Oryzias latipes: one gene and its partners. The protein of the gene in region 3 purifies or fractionates together with the protein of the main gene of each other region. This does not show direct contact. Links are inferred from orthologs where the notes say so. Each region holds a gene or a part of one and is shown on either strand. Other genes may lie near its edges.

Region 1 (4,237 bases), on a different chromosome or scaffold from region 3:
GTCTTCCTGGCGTTCCAGAAAAGACTCGCCCTCCTCCTCAGAGTCGTCCACGTCCTCCTGAACCACCTCATCGTAGGTCGGGATCCTGAAAGCATCCAAATTACATCATTTAAAAAAAAAGGTTCGGACATTTCTCCCAACAAAAACGAAACAGAGGAGCTCTTCTGTGGAACACACCGCTCTTCATCATCATCCTCTTCGTTCAGGTAGCCCTTGTTAAGCACATAGTCTCTGAGGAAGCGCTCCTTCTCCTCCAGCTGCGGGTTGTTCCAGTAGTCTCTTAAGTACTTCTGTCTCCACAGAAAAAGCACAAACATGAGCTGGATAGTCAGAGTCCTCCACGCGTTTCTTCATCCTGATCAAACTCACCATGTCCTTCACCTCCTCTCCCCCCTCCAGCTCTGCCTGGCCTTTCAGCCAATCCACAAAGTCCGCCTCCTCTTCATCCTGAAACAAACGCAGCTCGGTTTTGTTTCAGCCACAGGGAGACGTTCACAGACGGGGCTTCCCATCCGACCTTCTCCTCCTGCGTCTTCATCCTCCTTGTCAGCAGCGTCGACGTTCCTCCTTCCTCATCGTCATCCTCATCGTCGCTGTCCTCAACAAACTTGCGGAAGCTGCGTTCAGAGGTGGACTTCTGTCAATAAAGAGTGAGCAGGAGCGCTGGACGCCTGTAGAAGCTTTCAGCTCACCTGGCTTTCAGCTCCCGCTGCTCCTGGATGTAGCTGGGAGAAGCCGCTCTCTGCGAAGGAGGCGCAGAGAAATATTTATTTACCTCTTTACTCTCTTTAACTCCTGAATCCAAACACTTCAAGTCAAACCTGTCTTCTCTCTGCAGCTTCCTCTTCATCGCTGTCATCATCATCTTCGTATTTCCTGCCAAATGAAAACATTTTTTCTGAATGACCTGTATTCAATGCAAAACCTCACTTTTTTTCTTTAAAATCCTGCAGATAGAGATCCACAAACAGTCTGAAGCAAAGTTCTGGTTCTCAATCTTCTTCATCAAAGAAAAAAGGCAAATCAAGATGGATGTCTGATGTCACAGGAGCTGGCTGAAAACCCCCGCCGTGGCAGACTTTAACATCTGACGGATAAACCCACCTGGTTCATCATTCTCAGAACTGTGAACATAGTGAACATCACTGAAACTCTGTTAAGACGTTGCAGCAGCAGCTGTATCTGCCTCCTCCAGCTCTCACCACATACAGACAAGCATCCTAACCAGCTCTATGTGTGATGGTGAGGTGTGTGGTGGAGGAAATCATCTCCATCCATAACACCACTCCTCAAAGGTGTGCATTCAGAGCAGAACGCCATCAGGGATTCTTCACACCTCATCACAAAGCGCTAAACACACCGGCCAGTGGACCTCAGAGAGACTGCAGCAAATAATACAAAAACATGACCTTTCAGAAATTAAATAAAAAACAATTAAAACATTTGCAGTCTTTTCCAGAAACCAAAACCAACTAACAAAAAAAGAAATGAAATATTGATTTTGGTTTATGAAATGATGAAAAATTAATGCTTTTGTGTTGAGTGATTGGTTGATGTGATTTACACTTCAGGGCCACCGTAGAATTTGGACCCAACTATTGTCTTAGTGGTGGCTCAAAAGACTAAACTGATTTTTGCATCATTTTGTTGATTAACACACAAATCCCAAAACTAAATTCTTGGGATTTGTGATGCAGTGGTAGGGCGGAAGATTGCAGGTTCAATTCCCACCTTGCCTGTCCTTGGGCAAAACACTGAACCCCACCTTGCCTCTGGTGGAAGGTTGGCGCCAGTGTTCGCCAGCGGAGCCGCCACCAGTGTGTGAATGTGTGTGTGACTGTAAAGCGCTTTAGGCCTTCGAGGAAGGTAGAAAAGCGCTGTACAAGTATACGACATGTACCATTTACATTTAATATTGTGTATAGAAACATTATTTACGTTTCACTATTAAAATCCCAACACTGCAGAGTTGTGCGCAGTACTTCCTGTTTACAATCAGACTAAAGGTTTCTGTAGTGTTATTTTGATGAAAAGATGCTGTTTCTTGAACAGGACCTCACCCCTCCTTCTCCAGGATGACTGCCCGCTCATAGTCCTTGAGGAACATGGGTTTCACTGCAGCTTTCTTCGAGGTTGAAGGCTTCTCATCGCTGTGAGAAGTGTCTGAATAAAGAGGAACAAACGTTTCACGAAGGGGCAGAAAAGCCACGAGAAGCTAGCTGCTGCAAACATGTAAACAACCACCTTCAGAGTAGAACTTGGCGTCTTTCTCGTAGATCTTCGGGTCTTTTTTTTTCAGCAGCGACAGGATCCTGTAGAAGTCCCTCTCGACGGTGGGATCCAGCTCCTGCGGGACACAACTTTAGCTCAGTCAGTGCGTTTTAACTCAGCTAGTCTAGAAGACCTCATGTGCTAACCACTTCACTGTTGTCTGAGCTGGACCCCGAAGAGTCCGAGTCTCTCCCGTCGTTTTTGTCCCCAAATCTGTCCTTAACTGTAAAATACAAAACAAAAAGATGTCTTTCTTAAGCGGCAGCAGCCTGAAAAACAACTTTAAAGCTACTTTTCATCACTGGGTCGTTAGCATGTTAGCTAGCTCGTGGTAGACGCTTACGTTTCTGCAGCTCTTCTTTCTGTCGGTATTTGTCATATTTCTGAGCAAACTTTGTGTTAATTTTTAGTTCCCGTTTGCCTGACATTTTAAAAATGGAAAAAGGATAATTATTGAGAAAAATAAACAGACATTAGCGAATAGAAACCATGCCAGCTGCCAAAGGAAGCATGTGTGGGACCCTAATCACGTGGTTTCCGCTAAAGGAAGCAATTGCAGTAAATGTCCTACAGAGGGCGCACGAATCACAGAATTATTTTTATTTGACAGAGAAAAGCTCTTTTTATGATATTAATACCTTTAATTATTTCAATTAGTAGTTTTGTCTGATTTCATTTTTGATAGACTTAAAAAAATATTATAACCCAAGAAATTAATGTTAGATTCCCTGATGCAAAAATCACCACTTAAAGATGTGGGAAAAAAAATTAAAAATGGATAAAGTGTAGATTTACTTTTAATATGTTATGATTAATGTCTGTCAATAAAATGCGTTTATTTATAAGACAATAAAAACAAGCATGTTTACAATAAAAACAATAACTATTTTAAACTAAATGTTCAGTGGTTTCTTTAAAAAAAACAGTCAGTGTTGTGGTCGGTTTGTTGGAATTCACTGATCAAATGTCATTGATTCTCTACTTGGTCTGTGAGTAAAAATGTCAACAGCGTTCCATAAACTCGAACAAACACAGGTATCTGGTCAGTGCTGCATTTCTGCTGCATGTGGGAGGACCTGAGTGGGAGGGACTGTGCCAAATGTGAGACCACATGACGTCATAGCAGTTCAGGCTAAGTGTGGGCTGTTCTGGGATGTTTTTGGAAGTTTCTTCTGGCTCGGTTTCATTATGGACTGACAACAATAAATAATCTGTTGGAATCAAGCCCTTTTTACAATTATCAGCATCTCTTTCTGAGAGCAGAAAAACTCCCAGGACTTATCCAAAGCGCTCCTTTGTTTCTTATTCACAAGCAGCTGTTTAGAAATCAATACTTAAATGATATTTCTGTAGCTTCAAGAGAAAAAGATTACACCGATGTTTCAAGAAGTAGAAAAAATTAGTTGTTCTGTTAGACACTTTATACTTATGAAATTGAAAACATAGTGTTACGCCCCCTAGGGGTACCTAGGGGGGCATAACACAAAAAGTTAAGATTTGGCTGATAATTTAACATGAACTAAAACACCAAACAAATGTCAATATACAAAAATGACAAATTTATTTACAAATAAACAACCACCAACAACTACAAGTAAAGCAAAAAAGCTTCAGGGTGAACCAAGGCCAAAATAACAAACAAAACCCCACTTAACTGAAACATGTAATCTTACCTGTAAATGAAAGAAAAAGGGAACTCAATGACAAACACTAACCTCCCTAGACTAACAAAAACAGGAGAAAACATGTACTAAAGAAAATGGCAGTTCACCCCTACAGCTTCACTTCAACAAAATTATAAAGCAAAGGACTAAACAGAGTGGGCACAACACCATAAACTACACAGAAGAAATAATACAAAACACTAAAGTGCAACACACAACTAAACAGGTGGTGAAATCAAAACCAAACTGGAGAAGAGGGCCAAGCTGCAGTGGAGACTGTTGCAGCAAGGCTCCCTTCTCAC
Region 2 (4,189 bases), on a different chromosome or scaffold from region 3:
GTTGGCAAAAACCATGGTGCGGCCAGGATACTGGAGCAGGAAGTAATATAGGTAGAAGTCCTTCTCATCCTTCTGACAGTGGATCTGTGTCTCGGTCAGGGTCTCCACAGTTGCCTCTTTCCGGGTGAGGTCGATGACTTTAGGCTTGGACTTAATTCCTACTTTTTCGATGAGAATGTCCAGTTTGCTCCTCTTCTCCAAGTTCTTCTTCTTCTGAAGGAGGCGGCTGGGCAGGCTGTGCGTCAGCGTCAGAGTGGCAGAGAACACAAAAGTCTGCCGTTTGGGGTTGAAGTGTGTGGTGTTGAGCATCTCCAGCAGGCTCTCCAGCTCGGCAAAGTGTCCTCTTTCCACCATGCGATCAGCTTCATCGATCACCAAACACCTGGATCGGGAAGAAAAACGCAAAAGTGTCAAACAAAACGGGTCGGTCCCCAAAGCAGCAGAATCCGTAATGGAATCCGTAATAGGTAGATTCTGCTGCGATTTCAGGAATAAGAGGTCGTTGGTTCCATTGAGCCTCCAATACCAGCATTTTTTGGGGTCAGAAACCTATAACTGAACAACATAGTAGAGCTGAATGTAGACATTTTAACGTGCTGGACCATCATTTGTAAGCTAGAAAATGCAGCTTATAAGGAAGTGTGAAACTCATTATGTGGAAAATGTAGACAAAGGTGTTTTAGTTTGTAACCAATGCAGCTCTTACTGACCTAAATGTACGGTAATGACTTGATGACCAATCATTTATTTAAATGACAACAATTTAGATTTTGACAGACTGAAAGGAGATCAATATCAGTGCGTTTGAATGGTGACAAACCGGAGGTGTCTGAGGTTAAGCAGATGAGGATGCTTCTCCTTAATCAAGTCCCACAAACGTCCAGGGGTGGCAATAATGATCTCTGGGCAGCGTTTCAGCATCCTCTTCTGTTTCTGCTGGGCCATTCCCCCCACCAAAATGGCTGTCTTGATGTCTGGAACATGGAAAAAGCAGCTCATGGAGACGTATTCCAGCAGATGCAACGATCAGCAGAGATCTCCTTCCCATTTGTTCAGAAATTCTTTGCAAATGGGCTGTGTTTGACTGTTACAACTCACACAACATTGATGTAAACACTTTTTTTTGCTTCATTAGATATGTTATTCTGAGCTGAATGCGGTCACATGCTTCCTTGAATGGAGACTCACCAGTGAATTTTGTGACGGCATCAATGTGGTGTTTGACCTGAACAGCCAGCTCTCTGGTGGGAGTCAGGACCATTCCCAGGAGGGGCCGAGACCGGCCACCAGCAAGTTGTTCTTCCACACAGCGCTCGGCATTTTTGACCGTGCAGACACTTCCTGTTTTCTCATCTTGATCCTCGCTGCCATCTTCAGCTGAGCTGTCCTCCTCATCTGAAGCCTCCACACTCCCCTCCTGGTTCCCCACAGCTGTGGACTCATCTTCTGATTTTGCAGACTCCTCCACTGATGGTAAATATAAACTCACCACCTTTGGGGGAGTTTTGTCGATGTTGTCATGAAGACTTTGTTCTGTGCCGCGCTTCCATTCTAAGATGGCGTGGATCATAGGAATACCAAAAGCTAACGTCTTTCCACTTCCTGCAACGACACCCAAACTTCACGTGAGAACATGTGGAAACAAAGGGGCAAAAATCAAGACTTAAAAAAAAAAAAAAGTATTTTAGCTCACCAGTCTCAGCTGCACCCAGGACATCCATATGATCTCTGATGGCTGGGGGTAAAGCTAAAGCTTGAATGGGAGTCGGTGACTCAAATCCCAGGCTGCTGAGAGCCTTCAGCACAGAAGAGGGAACGAACAAGTCCTTCCACGCACTCACATCAGATTGTTTGTCATCATCAGAGCCACAGAGTGCAGCAGAGGTCCAGTTCTTTGTCTGCTTTTTGATGGGTTTTGTCTTATTTTGACCTTTATTCAAACCTTTTGTTTCAGATGGAGAATCCAGCTTTGGCTGCTCCTCCGTGACGGGATCTTTCTCTGAATGATTCTTCAGTTTCTTTTTCCTTATTTTTTCTCTTTTTGGGGGGTGTTCTTGTTCACAGAGGTCCTCACTGATCTCATCCTTCCCCGCCTCTTTATCAACAGCCTTGTCTTCTCCTATTGCATCCCCACTTTCCGATCCCACAGATTCCTTTGGAGCCACCTTTTTCCCCTTCTTTTTCTTCTTTGCTTTCTTCTTAGCTGGCTCAGCAGGAGTCTCTCCAGCTTCGTCTTCCTCCGCGACTTTTCTTTTCTTAGCCACCTTCTTCTCTCGTTGAAGTTGCTTCGCTGCAGCTTTCTCGCTGTCTATCAATCGATAATCCCTCAGCTCTTCAAAACACACCAGACCCTCCAAACCCTGCTCCGAGAACACACTGGGATCTATTTCGACCGCTTTCCATGTTCCTTTAGCGCGGATGCTCCGGGTCTTTAACCTAAACGAGCTGTTTTTGTTTTGAGCTTCCACTTTCTTTGTCTTCATTTTTCTCACTTTTTCTACAGTTTTAATACATGTGAATTATCTTTGATGCTAAAGGTGAAGACGAGTGAACCTGTGAGATCTGACACGAGACGTTTCCGTTAGCCTTTACGTTTGACGATGAGCGCAACTGATTGTTTACAACTTACTGCTAATGCATTGAACAGGCTTTTTATATTATTAACAAGGAATACAATGGTACGTTACCCGGATTCGATGGAGCTTTATGAAGTATCAAAATACACGCACAACCGTTAACAACCATGCAGTTCACGAGGGCGCAGCCATGACAGTGCTGATCACATGTTTTGTAAAAACTTTATTTAAACACAGGATGCGTACAAGCCCGAAAAGAAGGGTGAGAACGATGATTGTATGTGGAAGAGAGCATCTCATTTATGTCCAAATGTATTCTCTGCTATATAAACAAGAAAACATTTAACAAAGCAAAACCTGCTAAAATGCTTTAGTTTTTCACATTTTAATGCAATCTTTTTGTTCAACCCATGGGATAAAAGCTTAAAGTCTGCACTTCAATGGCATCTGAGTTGTTTAACTTAAAAGTCACTGTGGTAATGTACAGAAACTAAATTAGAAAAAACGTGTCTGTCCAAATATTTATGGTCCTGACTGTAGTTCGTGGTTGCTGATACGACTCATTTTGAACAATCCGATTCACTGAACTAAAATCAATCCAGGTTTTAATCTTTAAGCCGAAATATATCTGGGTACTAAACAGTGTAGGTGAAGTTTTCCAGATTCCTTGTATTTGTTTGTGTTGTCCGCTGTGATGGTACTTTGTTGTTTTTACGTTATTGTAAAATGAACCCACAGGGCCTCAATCCAGATGGGATTTTCCAATATTGATACAATCCATTTATTTAATTTTGAAAGGATTTTATAATGGTTTAGGTTAATTTGATTAACAACTTGCCTCAGGCAGACTGATCTGGCTGGAGAATACAAATCAATTAATCGACTAAACTGATAAATCGTTACGCCCCTATTTGTAAGTGACACTACAAAACAACAAAATTGACCTGGATTTGCAGGTCAATTACAGAAAACATGTAAAGAATTCAGATGTTTTTTGGAACTGAAGGGGCCAAACTCATCTCTTGATAAACAGCCCCACATCATAATACTCCTTCCACTTAACGTGACACTTGACTTAATGCAACCAGGAAGGTGATCTTCTACTGACAACTGCCAATACCTGTCTTAACAATAATGTTTGCAGATGAAGAAATCATATACATCACTTGAGAGAAATCATCTCTCAAGGGAACAACATTCGTATCATAATATTTAAGTAGATTTCTTTTTATATTAATATTTTTTTATTGTTTTGTTTTTATTTTAAGAGGATAACATCTATGTATCAATGTAAAACATAATTCTGTCCACAAATATTTACATGAGATCTGATTTTTACCCTTCAGAAATACCATTTAGTTGAAACTGCTTTAATAGTAAGTGAATAGACAATTCTTAATCATTATTGTATTCATTTCTATATAATTCATGCATATAATAGTATTTAGCAGAAGTACACTAAAAAAAAAAGATCTGTGGTAGATTCAACCACTAAAACACCTTTAAAACTCATATTTCGCTTTTTAAATTGAAAAAATTCATTGAATCAAAACAAAAAACTCTTTATTCCTTTATAAGTTAAAAAAGTTCATAAGTCATTAGTTGTACTAATC
Region 3 (3,515 bases):
CGCTCTTCTTGCCTTTTAGTCAGAACTTCTGCTTGTTTGACCTGGGAAAAAAAGACCAGTGTGAATATTATAAACCTCTTCTTTCAGTGTTACACTTCTCTACTGAAGCTGAAGATCATGAAAAACCTGCTGGCATTGTTTAAAAGGTAAAAAAAGATCCTCACTTTTATTTCCTCCATCTTCTTTCTCTTCTTCACACTTTCTCGTAAGAAAAACTCTCCAGTGGCAAGCTCCTTATCAATCTGCAAAAGCCAGCATTGATGAGTTATGTTGGGCTGTTAGCATAACTCGACATATGCGAGAGCATGAATCAAGGCCTTTCTGACCTTGCTTTCTGGCTGTGAAGGAGGGAAGGGTGTGTACTCTTTCTTCACGCTCTTCTTCTTAGGTTCCTTCCGCTTAGACAGGTTCTTGTGGCGGAACTTTGGCATGAAGCGCTCCCAGTTCTGCGTTCGCAGCTCTGGGTCCCTGGAGAGTTCCTGTTTGATCATCAGTGTCTGACGGCGAGACAGAACAGCATGCATGGGAAACCAAATACACGTATTGTCAGTTTGGTCCTCCTGAAGACATTCATGGACTTCTTCTGGTGTTGGTGCTCCATAACTGCACTTGCAGTAACATTAAGAAGTGTTTCTGTTCTCCAAACTGCAACACTATAACAGGTGATCAGGTTGCAGTTCATTGGTTTTTGTGCTGCTTTAATGAACACAGCTTCAGCAACAAAACTCAGAGTAAATCTGGATCTGCTGTGACTACAGAGGCCAAATAGAAAAGACTTATCCTTAACATGGGCGGGGAATGACCTAAAAGTGTTTAAGTACGTGAACAACATATAGAAACTGCTGGAACCACATGAAAAAATTCAACATTGAACTAAAGTGTAGATATATGTGTGAACAACAACAGGAGAGTTGGACAAACAAGGTGCATAAATGTAGCAGTGTTTTTCATGCCCTCAGCTCCAGGCATCAAACCCAGAGAGGCTTGTTTCAGTCATGAGATCCAGAACAAGGATGGAGAAAGTCCTCATAGGGCATGAATGCAGTCTCTCCAAGCATTCTGTGATTCCTGTGCAGCTTCAGCAGCTGGAATGTACCTTGATGTTATAGATGGGATGGATGTTCTTCATCGTGTCCATCACCACCTTTCGAACCTGCAGAGCAGAAAAGACAAACATGTCAAACATACGATGTATGAGACAGAAAGGCTTACCTTACCGTTTGCTGAACGTTTGTAGAAAAGCTCTTTGGGCAACATTTAACATTTTTAGTGACGTTCATTTGCATGATTTTCTATGATGATGACATAGAAAAGGTTTGATTTGAAAAGAAGAGGACAACACTGTTTGCTTCAGGCCCAAACCGCAGTGAGAACTTGGCAAACAAGATGTCAACATTTCATCCCCATTTATCTGTATTCAGTAATTAGAACCAGCAAATGTTTTTCTTGCACTAAACAACAGCAGAAACTGTCTACATTTAGTAAGAAATGCACCAGCAGAAAGTTTCAGACCCAGAGGTGGTGAAAAAAAGCCCAGAAAGCAGCAGCAGACGTGTCACTCCACTCATTAGATGTAAAATAAGATCAAATTAGATGAATAAATGAATGTCACCAGGTTAAAAATAAAACAATTTTCTTTTCTTTTTTTTAAATATCCCTACGGTCAGCTACCAGCTAGTCCACTTTAGCTCTGAGTTAGCTTTCTTTAATTTGGTTATTTTTCCCACATGTTCATAATCCACCATCTTCCCTTCGGGATCACTGTAATGCTGGAGCCCGTCCCGGCTACTGTTGGGGGGTGGGGGGGGGGGGGGGGTCGGTACACCTGGACAGGTTCAGGGGCTGGAGTGAGTGTGCCTGCCCCGCTCTGGCAAAGGATATCACTGTCATAATCTGTTTTTTTGGTTGTTTTTTTTAACAGCAATTGTACTAAAACAAATTCCATGTGATCATTAACATTCTAAAAAGTTTAATTCTTTTTTAGTTTAATAAATTAGCCTGAAAGCACATGCTAATAAAGTTGAAACAATGTTTCAGTTCTCGAATACGTCTGTGACCCTGTGTCGTATTTAAAACAGAGAGTTAACGCGGGAAATCGCATTCAAAACAGACATGTTAAACATGAAACTAAATGTTGTAATCATATTTTTGTTTTAAGTTGAACACAATTTCGTTGTTTCTGCACAAGTTCCTCATTGACAGTTTACCATTCGTCCGTGGTCTTACCTCCTTCAGGCCGTTGTAGGGTCCTAGCGCGGACACCGTGTTGCCTTGCACCATCACGTAGCAGTTGGTCAGCAGCTCCAATGCCTGGACAGAGATGGAGACAGAAAATGATCTTTCACGTCCAAGGGGCAACTCTCGTACTTCCCATCTTTGGAACTGAAATGGGTTTATTTCAAACAATCAAAACAAACATCTCATCCTTGTTCTTCCAATTACAAAGATGAGAGAGGCCAGTGGTTTTCATCATAGTAAACCTCAACTTTGAGAGACAAAATGAAAAAAAAAAAATCCAGAAAATCACATTGTCGGATTTTAAAAAAAGTTCTTTGTAAATGATGGTGGAATATAAGTTTTTGGTCACCTACAAACAAGCAGGCTTTCTGTCTCTCACAGACCTGTAACTTCTTCTGTAAGAGGATCCTCTGTCCTCCACTGGTTACCTGTAATAATGGCTCCCGTTTCTTCTTGTAGTTTACATAGCGGGAGGCACCAAAGTCAAGGTGCAATACCAACACCTAGTGTGTAAAAGTGTGAGTCGGACTGGGGAACTACCTAACTAGTTTAGTAAATTAAAAAAGAAAAAAAACTATATTCTCAACAGTCTATCTGGTTCACTTCAGAAAACCACTAACAACTCTGTTGAAATTCTGCTCCCCTCCCAAAAGCCTCCTCAAACTCAGTCGCTCTCCCTCTGGCAACTGTACTCTATCCTCCAGCTGATGTCTTTCTTCCCCATTCAATTCAGTGATTTAGAATGTGCTTCTTCCCTTTTCCCACAATCACACAGGCCAGTAGGATGTTTCCCCAGTTGATGTAATGTATTATTTAAAGCCGTGTGTCCAATCCTCAATGTTTCCTAGTAAAATCCATGCATTTTGTTTTATCCACTAAAAATTGAAAGCCCCAATCCTAGGACCAGTTTACCACCTCTGTTAATGCATCTTGCATCTTTCCAGGTAGCAATACGGGTTGTTTGACGAAGATCAAGCAGTACTCTTTGCTCAGGGGCAAGCTGGGGTCTGTTACCATATTGGGCAGTCCGGCTTCATTTTCTGGTCGGTTTTGTAACAAGGAAGTTTCCCCTGGCTGTGTTGTTGGCCCTCCGCAGGACACTTTTGATAGTGGGGGCCACCTTGCAGTGTTCCAACAAGCTGCGGGTCTATGTTTGTCTGGAACGTCACCAAGTGACCAGCCCGCCAAGGGTGACCCCACCAGAAGCAAGCTCCAGACGGTATCGCTCTCTGGGTCATCGGTTCACAGAAGTCTCCTTGCCCCAACAAGGCCAGACC
Region 4 (2,731 bases), on a different chromosome or scaffold from region 3:
AGGACAAACAGGCCGTTAAGGGCCAGCAGACTGATGGCACCGCCTGCTCAATGACAAACAGACCTTAAATGAGGCTGCCCCGACAGCAGAGGGCTGGATACACATCGTTTGTTTCAGAAACATTAAAACAATGAAAGCGCGCCAAAGGAGAAAACTTGAAATTAAACAGCAGATTCATTTTAACGGATCATGTTATATCCTTCAAGGAGACAAACAAAGGTGTGGCATCAAGTGTTTTGCATGTCCTAATTAATCTGAAAAATTGTAACCACATTTTTTATATAATTTGTTGTTGTCGGACAATAAGGTCATGATTAGTCGGTACAGAAAGTTTGGTGACTGTAGCTTAAGCATCTTCAGAGCTATTGAGAATTTAAATTCCACTATGCGAAGGCAGCTGCCGGTCCGAAGAAAAAAGGTTTGTCCGCGGTGCATCAGGAGGAGGACCGCAGAAGGTGGACATGCTGCTACGTAGTCCTGAGAAGCTGTGTAAACTCATCAGAAGTTCACAACCAACACAAAGCAGTCTTCTCTGCCGCTAACACAAAGCTACTCCTGGTGTGTCTGTGTCTGTTAGCAGCCGGAGACACGGAGAAAGCAGTGACGTCATCGCCCCGCCTTCCCTCTGGAAATGCTTTTTCTAAATGAATAATGCGACAATGTTCGCAGGGTGGATGTGAAAATGCAGATGCAATCCCCTCTTTGCATTTTCATTTTAATTATGACACAGAATAAGCGGTTTTTAAGTATAAAATGAAAAAGCATTTTGAAGTATTGCTTTTTCATTTTAATTTTGAGTCATTTGATACAGCTTCATTTGAAATGAAATGAAATTAAATGAAGTGAAAAAGAATTTCTGTTAATCCATTTTAATTGTCAAATTAGACATTTCTAAATGAATTATGCTACACATTTACCAGGGACCTTTTTGAAAATGAAATGTCAAATACTATTTTCATTATCATTTAATTAAGTGACAGAATAAGCGGTGTTGAAGAAGAAAATTAAAAAGCATTTTGGTGGATTGCTTTTTCATTTTAATTCTGAGTCAAAAAATGCAGCTTCATTTGAAAATGAAAAAGCATTTCTGGTTTTGACTTTTATTTTTAATTATGCTACAGAATCGCTTCCATATGACATGCTGGTTCACTCCGAGAGAAAGAAAAGCGATATTAGTGATTTCTGTGGAGGTAATTTTAACAATAATGAGAACTTGTGATATTTTTGAGATTATTTATGGCGAGTTACTGAGAAACTGCTTTTGTTTGTCAAAACGGATTATGTCCATGACACGTACACATTTGGCAGGGGTTGGCAACCTGCGGCTCTTTCATCCCTGTGCTGCGGCTCTCTATGGTTTTGTAAAAGAACTATTGTGTTGACAGATTGACGTGGTGCCTTTAACAACGTGTCTGCAGCTGTGAGCACGGACCAGAGTCTGTTACAGGATGAAAAGTTCTTCTAAAAAGACAGTACATGGCAACTGAGGTAGAATGAGAAGTGAATAAAAGCCTCATCATTCAGAACCTCTGCGGGTCGTCATGACGACACAAACCATGTCGTCAACCAGCTGTTGCATTTTTGTGAGCGGGTCGGAACAACCGAGCTGCTCGTCCCTGGAGCGGCTCCCCTGTGCTGATGACTATGGTCGGCAAGCAGTGAACAGGAAAGGTTCACAAAAATGATTTTAAAAAAACAAAACAAAAAATGAACGGGCTGAGTCTTAGGTTTAAAAAAAAATCTGAATGTAGACTTTCTAAGTAAAGTTCTATGTGACTATCAACCGGTGCCACGACCACGACTCCCGCCGGCGAGTACCGGTAATCCCAACAATGCTCTGACTCAGGTGGGACAACGATGGAAATTTTAGAGGAAATTGAAGTTCCTGGAGAAAACTGTTGCTTTAATGGCACCTGGGCAGATTTGTTTGCTTTCAACAACTTTAGCAGTATAATTAATATGTACTGAGGAATTAGCAAACAACAAAGTCTCAAATGTGGCGAGACATTCCAGAATGAAACTGCCCAAAAACATCCAGATTCAGATGAGAAAAAAAGTTGTTTGTTGACAAAAATCTATTGGAGAAGCAGATTAATTGTTACTTAATTACGACATATTTGCTAGTTTTGTGGCCACTCTGCAAATGGTTCTCATCAGAACCCATTAAATAACAGAGGATGCAAAAAAAAATGAACATCTCTTCACAAACTTTAAAAACGAGTGAAATGATGCTTTTCACTGGAAACACAGAGTTTTCCTGATGGTGATGCGGCTTCCTGTATCTTCATTTTTGTGGGAAACTGGTCCAAATGGCTTTGAATGGTAAAGGTTGCCGACCCCTGACATTGGGGCTTTTCAACTTTGATTTGCAGGTCAACCCACAGTTTGCATGAGCAGATTAGGTCAGGTAGTGTGTAGTTATCTCCTTTTGTAGTTCTTAAAAATACTAGAGAGAAAATCAAGAAAACAATCTAGAACAAAGATCACCTACGATTTTTTTTTCTTTAATTGAATGAGATACACTTTCAAACATTAGTGCAGTTTCCTCCACACCAACACAACAGGGTTAATTGAAGACAGAGAACTCACCGACTTCATAAGCGGCGGTCAAAAAGTCGATCATCAGAGCAGGTTTGCTCATGTGCGGCAAAATAGAGTCATGGAGGATCACCAAGAGTTTCTTATACATGTTGCTTGGCAACTGGGACACAAAGATGGAAGAACTGTGAGA
Region 5 (4,198 bases), on a different chromosome or scaffold from region 3:
AGCCAATCAGAATGGAGTATTCACCCGGACCGTGGTCTAAACTTCAATTAACGTTGGAGATAGAAAACTTTTGCCTCTGGAAAATTCTGCTTTGGTTCAAGTTGGACTATGGCTCTAAGCTTTTCCTCAGTGTTCCACCTAACATGCATCAAACCAGATCAGTGTCCCGATAAACATTATGACGGGCTTCGCTCAGCGTATTGGGCCGGGACGACCCGCAGGATCTGTGACATACAGTGGGACCTTTTGTTCAAAGTGCTTAAGTGGGTGTGGCCCCCAGACACGGGGGCTCTGCAGAAGCCGCTCAGGAATGAGATTCGTACTCGGCAGTAGTTTGATGATCTGCTTGAGTTCCTCTTCGAAGCCCACTTCCAGGATCCGATCGGCCTCGTCGATTATCAGACACTGCAGGTTCTTGAACATGAAGCCAGGAGTATTCTGGGAAAAGAGGGGGGGGGGGGGGGGCACATTTGTCAAAACTTCACACCAACTTCAACACCCGGATCCACGCGAGGCTCACCTGCAGGTGGTCCAACAGGCGGCCGGGCGTGGCCACGAGAATGTTAACACCGTTGGCCAGTCTTTGGGCCTCGGCTGAGCGGTTGCTGCCCCCCATTATGAGCCCGTAGGTGTGGACGTGGTGGGTCATCAGCTCCTTCAGGACGCCGTACGTCTGCATGGCCAGCTCGCGCGTCGGAGAGAGGATGATGACACCAGTGCCTGAGGGAGAGGGCGGGTTTAGGATTCCACCAGAACCATGACAGTCACATCATTCTCGTGGAGACTCACCGTTTCTGGGCATGAACTTCAACTTGTAAATGAGCTCAATGGAGGGGATGAGGAAAGCCAAGGTTTTCCCGCTGCCTGTCTTGGCGGCGGCCAGAACATCCCTGCAGGAGAACATGGCAAACAACTGAGCCTCAACCCAAAACCAAACACACCAGCGTTCTGATGTCCCGCTCGTTTAAGGACTCATGGCTACCTTCCTTCCAGCAGAGGCCGGACGGTTTTGTGTTGGATCTCAGTCATGTGCTGGAAGCCCATCTCTTTCACTCCCTTCAGTGTGCCCTCGCTCACCAGATCCGCCAGAGACTCGAACGCCGTGTCCTCGAACGCTCCTGAAACGGCAGGCCACCCCTCGTCACTGCACATCACCTCCAGCTGTTCCCATCTACTTCCTGTCCTCTCAATCTACAGTTACCTATAAATGTCCCAACCGGGACCATCCCGACCCAACCGGGACCATCCAGACTCAATAAAGGTCAGTTCACTGGTTTCTGTTCAGCGCTTTCACACATCGGCTACGTTCTTTCAATAACGTCAACTATGGTAGCTTGTTAGGTCCAAACAAGCAGACAGACAACAACTGCACGTGGGTTGGATCCGAATAGGTTCCTGTTCCTACTCTAACCAAACCGAGTTTGTTTGAAAGCGGTTGGAGATCGGCCAACAGTTTGGATGAGTGAAATCACACCAAGCAGTGAAAGACACATCGCAAAAGACGGCGAAAAATGCAATAAATAGTTACCTTAAATGTGCTAAAACAATCTTATGGCAGCTTGAAGTATTTAACAAATCAAATAAATCCCTTTGTGCTTTTGACCAATCAAGTGGAGCCGTTTATGTTAGATGTTTGTCTCCGATGTCGACAAGGATCATTGGGAGTAGAATATTTAAACTAATGCAGTGAAATGGGAATGATGTTTTAGCTGTTTTGCCGTTTGTTCATATACCGCAAACTATATCGTTTTCGCAATATTGATCAGTAATATCCCGAGTTGTCCTCATTTCGTGCAGCCCTGGTCCAAACTGACACCAGAAACAAACTAAAGCCAATCAAACGCAGCAGAACCACAGCCAGAACCACGGCTCATGCTTCTGGCATCAATACCTGTTAAACCTGAAGGCAGTTCAGGCTGCTCTTCATCCTCCGCCCCCTCTTCCTCTGAAGGTTTCTCCTCTTCATCCTCACTTTGGCCCTCTTTCTGGTGTCCTCTTGTGGTCTTGTCCTCTTCATCTTCCACGGTCTTGCTTTTCTTCTCAGCTGCAGATCAAAGTTTATATTTTGCGGTCACCAGATTAAACAACAACAACCGCTCTTTCTTTGACCTTATCTCCAGCATTACCTGGAGGTCCTTCGGTAACAACGAGGTTTCTTTTCTTCTTTTTCTTCTGATTCTTTTCCTTCACAGCATGTTCCTCCGGCCCTTCGACATTCTTCAGTCCCACACTGGAGCCCTCTTCCTCCGCGCACAGCTCCTCCTCCAGCCGGTCGGAGCCTCTTTTCAGTCCCTCTGCAACACAGCAGGTGAGGAGCTAAACGGACAGCAGTTCAGCGGACAGACAAGCTCCACAGACGGACGGAGGCCGAGGAGGTCCAAACACTGCGAAGTCGCCCCACACAAGCCAAACAACGCGGGCCTCCGGGTAGAAAAAAGTTCGGATGTTGGGCGGTTACAGCTCGCTCACTTTTCCTGTTAAGTCGATATATGTGAGTGTCAGAGAGTTTACACACACACACACACATGTGTGTGTTTGAAAGGCCCGCATTTCGTCAGAGCATTCAGAACTTAAAGTACCACAAAGCTCAACGACCGACACACAAACACCGTAAAACCGGAGCCGCCGGATCTCTTACCGGTCTCCTCCTGGATCTCTGCCTGGATACTCTTCAGTTTGCGCTCTTTGTTCTTCTCGGCCCGTTTTTGGATTTTCTTACGGAGCAGTTTCATCTGTAGGTCCGCCATGGTGGAACAGCGCACGTGCGTCTGCGTGGATGACGCCCAGGACCCCGGAAGCTGCCGCTTAGTTTCGCCTGAGTGAAAAGCCGTGGAGTGTCGCCACCCGATTAGTCTGCGCGTGCGCTTGCCTCTTGAAACGTTTACAACAATGAAAATGTTTATTATAATAAACAGTTAACTTTAATGTTGAAAAAAAGGAAATGTTAAAGCTCATGACCCCGCCATCCTGCTTAAGGACTACAAATGGACTACAAATGTTTTCTTTTCTCCTGTTCAGGTCAGAGGTCAGAGGACGCAGCGCTTCTTTCTTACTGACACTTTTACTAACTCCGTTAGTAAATAATAAATAATAATAAATACGGTCACTTCTCCTTTTTCCTGTTGCCAACACATAAAAAACGCTAGCTGTAGCCGATCTTTAAAAAATAATCATATTTTTTCTAATAAATGTTTTGGGATAGAACTTTAATCTCCAATTCAATGTTCCGGGTGGACACCTGTGATCTTAATGCCGTTTACAGAAGCATCTGAAAAACACAGTTTTTGGAAAACATCTTTTAATCTTGAAATGAAAATACTTCCCATTTTTCCAAATGGACCTTTGACTTCATATCAGGGGTGGACGAACCTTTTGACTGTTGGGCCACGAAGGGTTGTAAAATTTGTCACAAGGGCCTAACCAGAGGCATGGTGTGTTTTGGTAATCCACCTCGAAAGAGAAAGAAATAACATAGAATGTGATTGAAAACATGCTTTATCTTTGATTGAAAACTGATATATAAAATCTGAACATTTGGGAGTTTTTATTTCAGAACCGTGGCTTTTATTCTCATTTTATTGCCAATTGCATTAATAGGTCTATGTCCTTCAGGAAAAAATATAAACTTAGAGAAATTGTCTAGAAAAACTGTTCATGTGGTGCTGGAATGATGGAAAAATGATTTTCCAACTTGGAAAATGCACATGAACAAAAAACAACAACAAATCTTCCAACACCACATGAATGAAGACTAATTTTCTGCACCCAGACAAAGGTCAGTTTATTGTAGTGCACCATCTATAGTAGACACCAAAATTACAGGGGGAAAAGAAACATGAAAAAGTATTATCAATATGATTTATTCCAGTTTGGCGGGCCGCATATGGCCCCCGGGCCGTGGTTTGCCCACCCCTGCTTTATATATTCAATGTTACGGAGAGAAAACGAAAATCTTCCTTGTAAATCTGAGTCCAGATTGTCTCTAACCTTTCTTTTTTATTTATTTCTACGTTTGTGTTTAAATCCAGACTATTATTGAGGTGAGACGACCAAGAACATCTATTTCACAGCACTGAAGGCTCAATGACAAAAAACAGTATTTTATGTTTTTCAGAAAGAAACGATTCGATATATAAATAGTAGTAAATCCTGCTCTATAAAAAGCTGCTAGAACAGTGGTCACATGGTCTCTTTTGAA

Evidence for each region.
Region 1: the proteins of krr1 (region 3) and protein KRI1 homolog purify together in Homo sapiens (affinity purification with mass spectrometry; 3 studies listed by BioGRID and IntAct, with this or other methods). This does not show direct contact. The link is inferred for Oryzias latipes from reciprocal best matches to the Homo sapiens genes KRR1 and KRI1.
Region 2: the proteins of krr1 (region 3) and ddx24 purify together in Homo sapiens (affinity purification with mass spectrometry; 3 studies listed by BioGRID and IntAct, with this or other methods). This does not show direct contact. The link is inferred for Oryzias latipes from reciprocal best matches to the Homo sapiens genes KRR1 and DDX24.
Region 4: the proteins of krr1 (region 3) and noc4l purify together in Homo sapiens (co-immunoprecipitation; 3 studies listed by BioGRID and IntAct, with this or other methods). This does not show direct contact. The link is inferred for Oryzias latipes from reciprocal best matches to the Homo sapiens genes KRR1 and NOC4L.
Region 5: the proteins of krr1 (region 3) and ddx18 purify together in Homo sapiens (affinity purification with mass spectrometry; 3 studies listed by BioGRID and IntAct, with this or other methods). This does not show direct contact. The link is inferred for Oryzias latipes from reciprocal best matches to the Homo sapiens genes KRR1 and DDX18.

What each region holds. Positions count from the first base shown.
Region 1 is NC_019866.2:21,186,420-21,190,656, forward strand, and holds the start of protein KRI1 homolog, read right to left. Parts: upstream 2,816-4,237; 5' UTR 2,700-2,815; coding exon 2,615-2,699; intron 2,495-2,614; coding exon 2,418-2,494; intron 2,348-2,417; coding exon 2,245-2,347; intron 2,164-2,244; coding exon 2,061-2,163; intron 877-2,060; coding exon 822-876; intron 743-821; coding exon 693-742; intron 618-692; coding exon 518-617; intron 448-517; coding exon 370-447; intron 291-369; coding exon 178-290; intron 86-177; coding exon 1-85.
Region 2 is NC_019880.2:12,476,971-12,481,159, forward strand, and holds the start of ddx24 (ATP-dependent RNA helicase DDX24), read right to left. Parts: upstream 2,805-4,189; 5' UTR 2,688-2,804; intron 2,563-2,687; 5' UTR 2,484-2,562; coding exon 1,694-2,483; intron 1,603-1,693; coding exon 1,189-1,602; intron 975-1,188; coding exon 821-974; intron 383-820; coding exon 1-382. UniProt on the Homo sapiens protein: ATP-dependent RNA helicase that plays a role in various aspects of RNA metabolism including pre-mRNA splicing and is thereby involved in different biological processes such as cell cycle regulation or innate immunity.
Region 3 is NC_019863.2:1,188,160-1,191,674, reverse strand, and holds part of krr1 (KRR1 small subunit processome component homolog), read right to left. Parts: intron 2,311-3,515; coding exon 2,227-2,310; intron 1,154-2,226; coding exon 1,097-1,153; intron 498-1,096; coding exon 327-497; intron 243-326; coding exon 165-242; intron 42-164; coding exon 1-41. UniProt on the Homo sapiens protein: Part of the small subunit (SSU) processome, first precursor of the small eukaryotic ribosomal subunit.
Region 4 is NC_019870.2:16,277,960-16,280,690, reverse strand, and holds part of noc4l (nucleolar complex protein 4 homolog), read right to left. Parts: intron 2,702-2,731; coding exon 2,590-2,701; intron 44-2,589; coding exon 1-43.
Region 5 is NC_019879.2:1,178,040-1,182,237, forward strand, and holds the start of ddx18 (ATP-dependent RNA helicase DDX18), read right to left. Parts: upstream 2,802-4,198; 5' UTR 2,748-2,801; coding exon 2,639-2,747; intron 2,295-2,638; coding exon 2,127-2,294; intron 2,045-2,126; coding exon 1,892-2,044; intron 1,119-1,891; coding exon 983-1,118; intron 891-982; coding exon 790-890; intron 721-789; coding exon 521-720; intron 439-520; coding exon 324-438; intron 1-323. UniProt on the Homo sapiens protein: ATP-dependent RNA helicase that plays a role in the regulation of R-loop homeostasis in both endogenous R-loop-prone regions and at sites of DNA damage.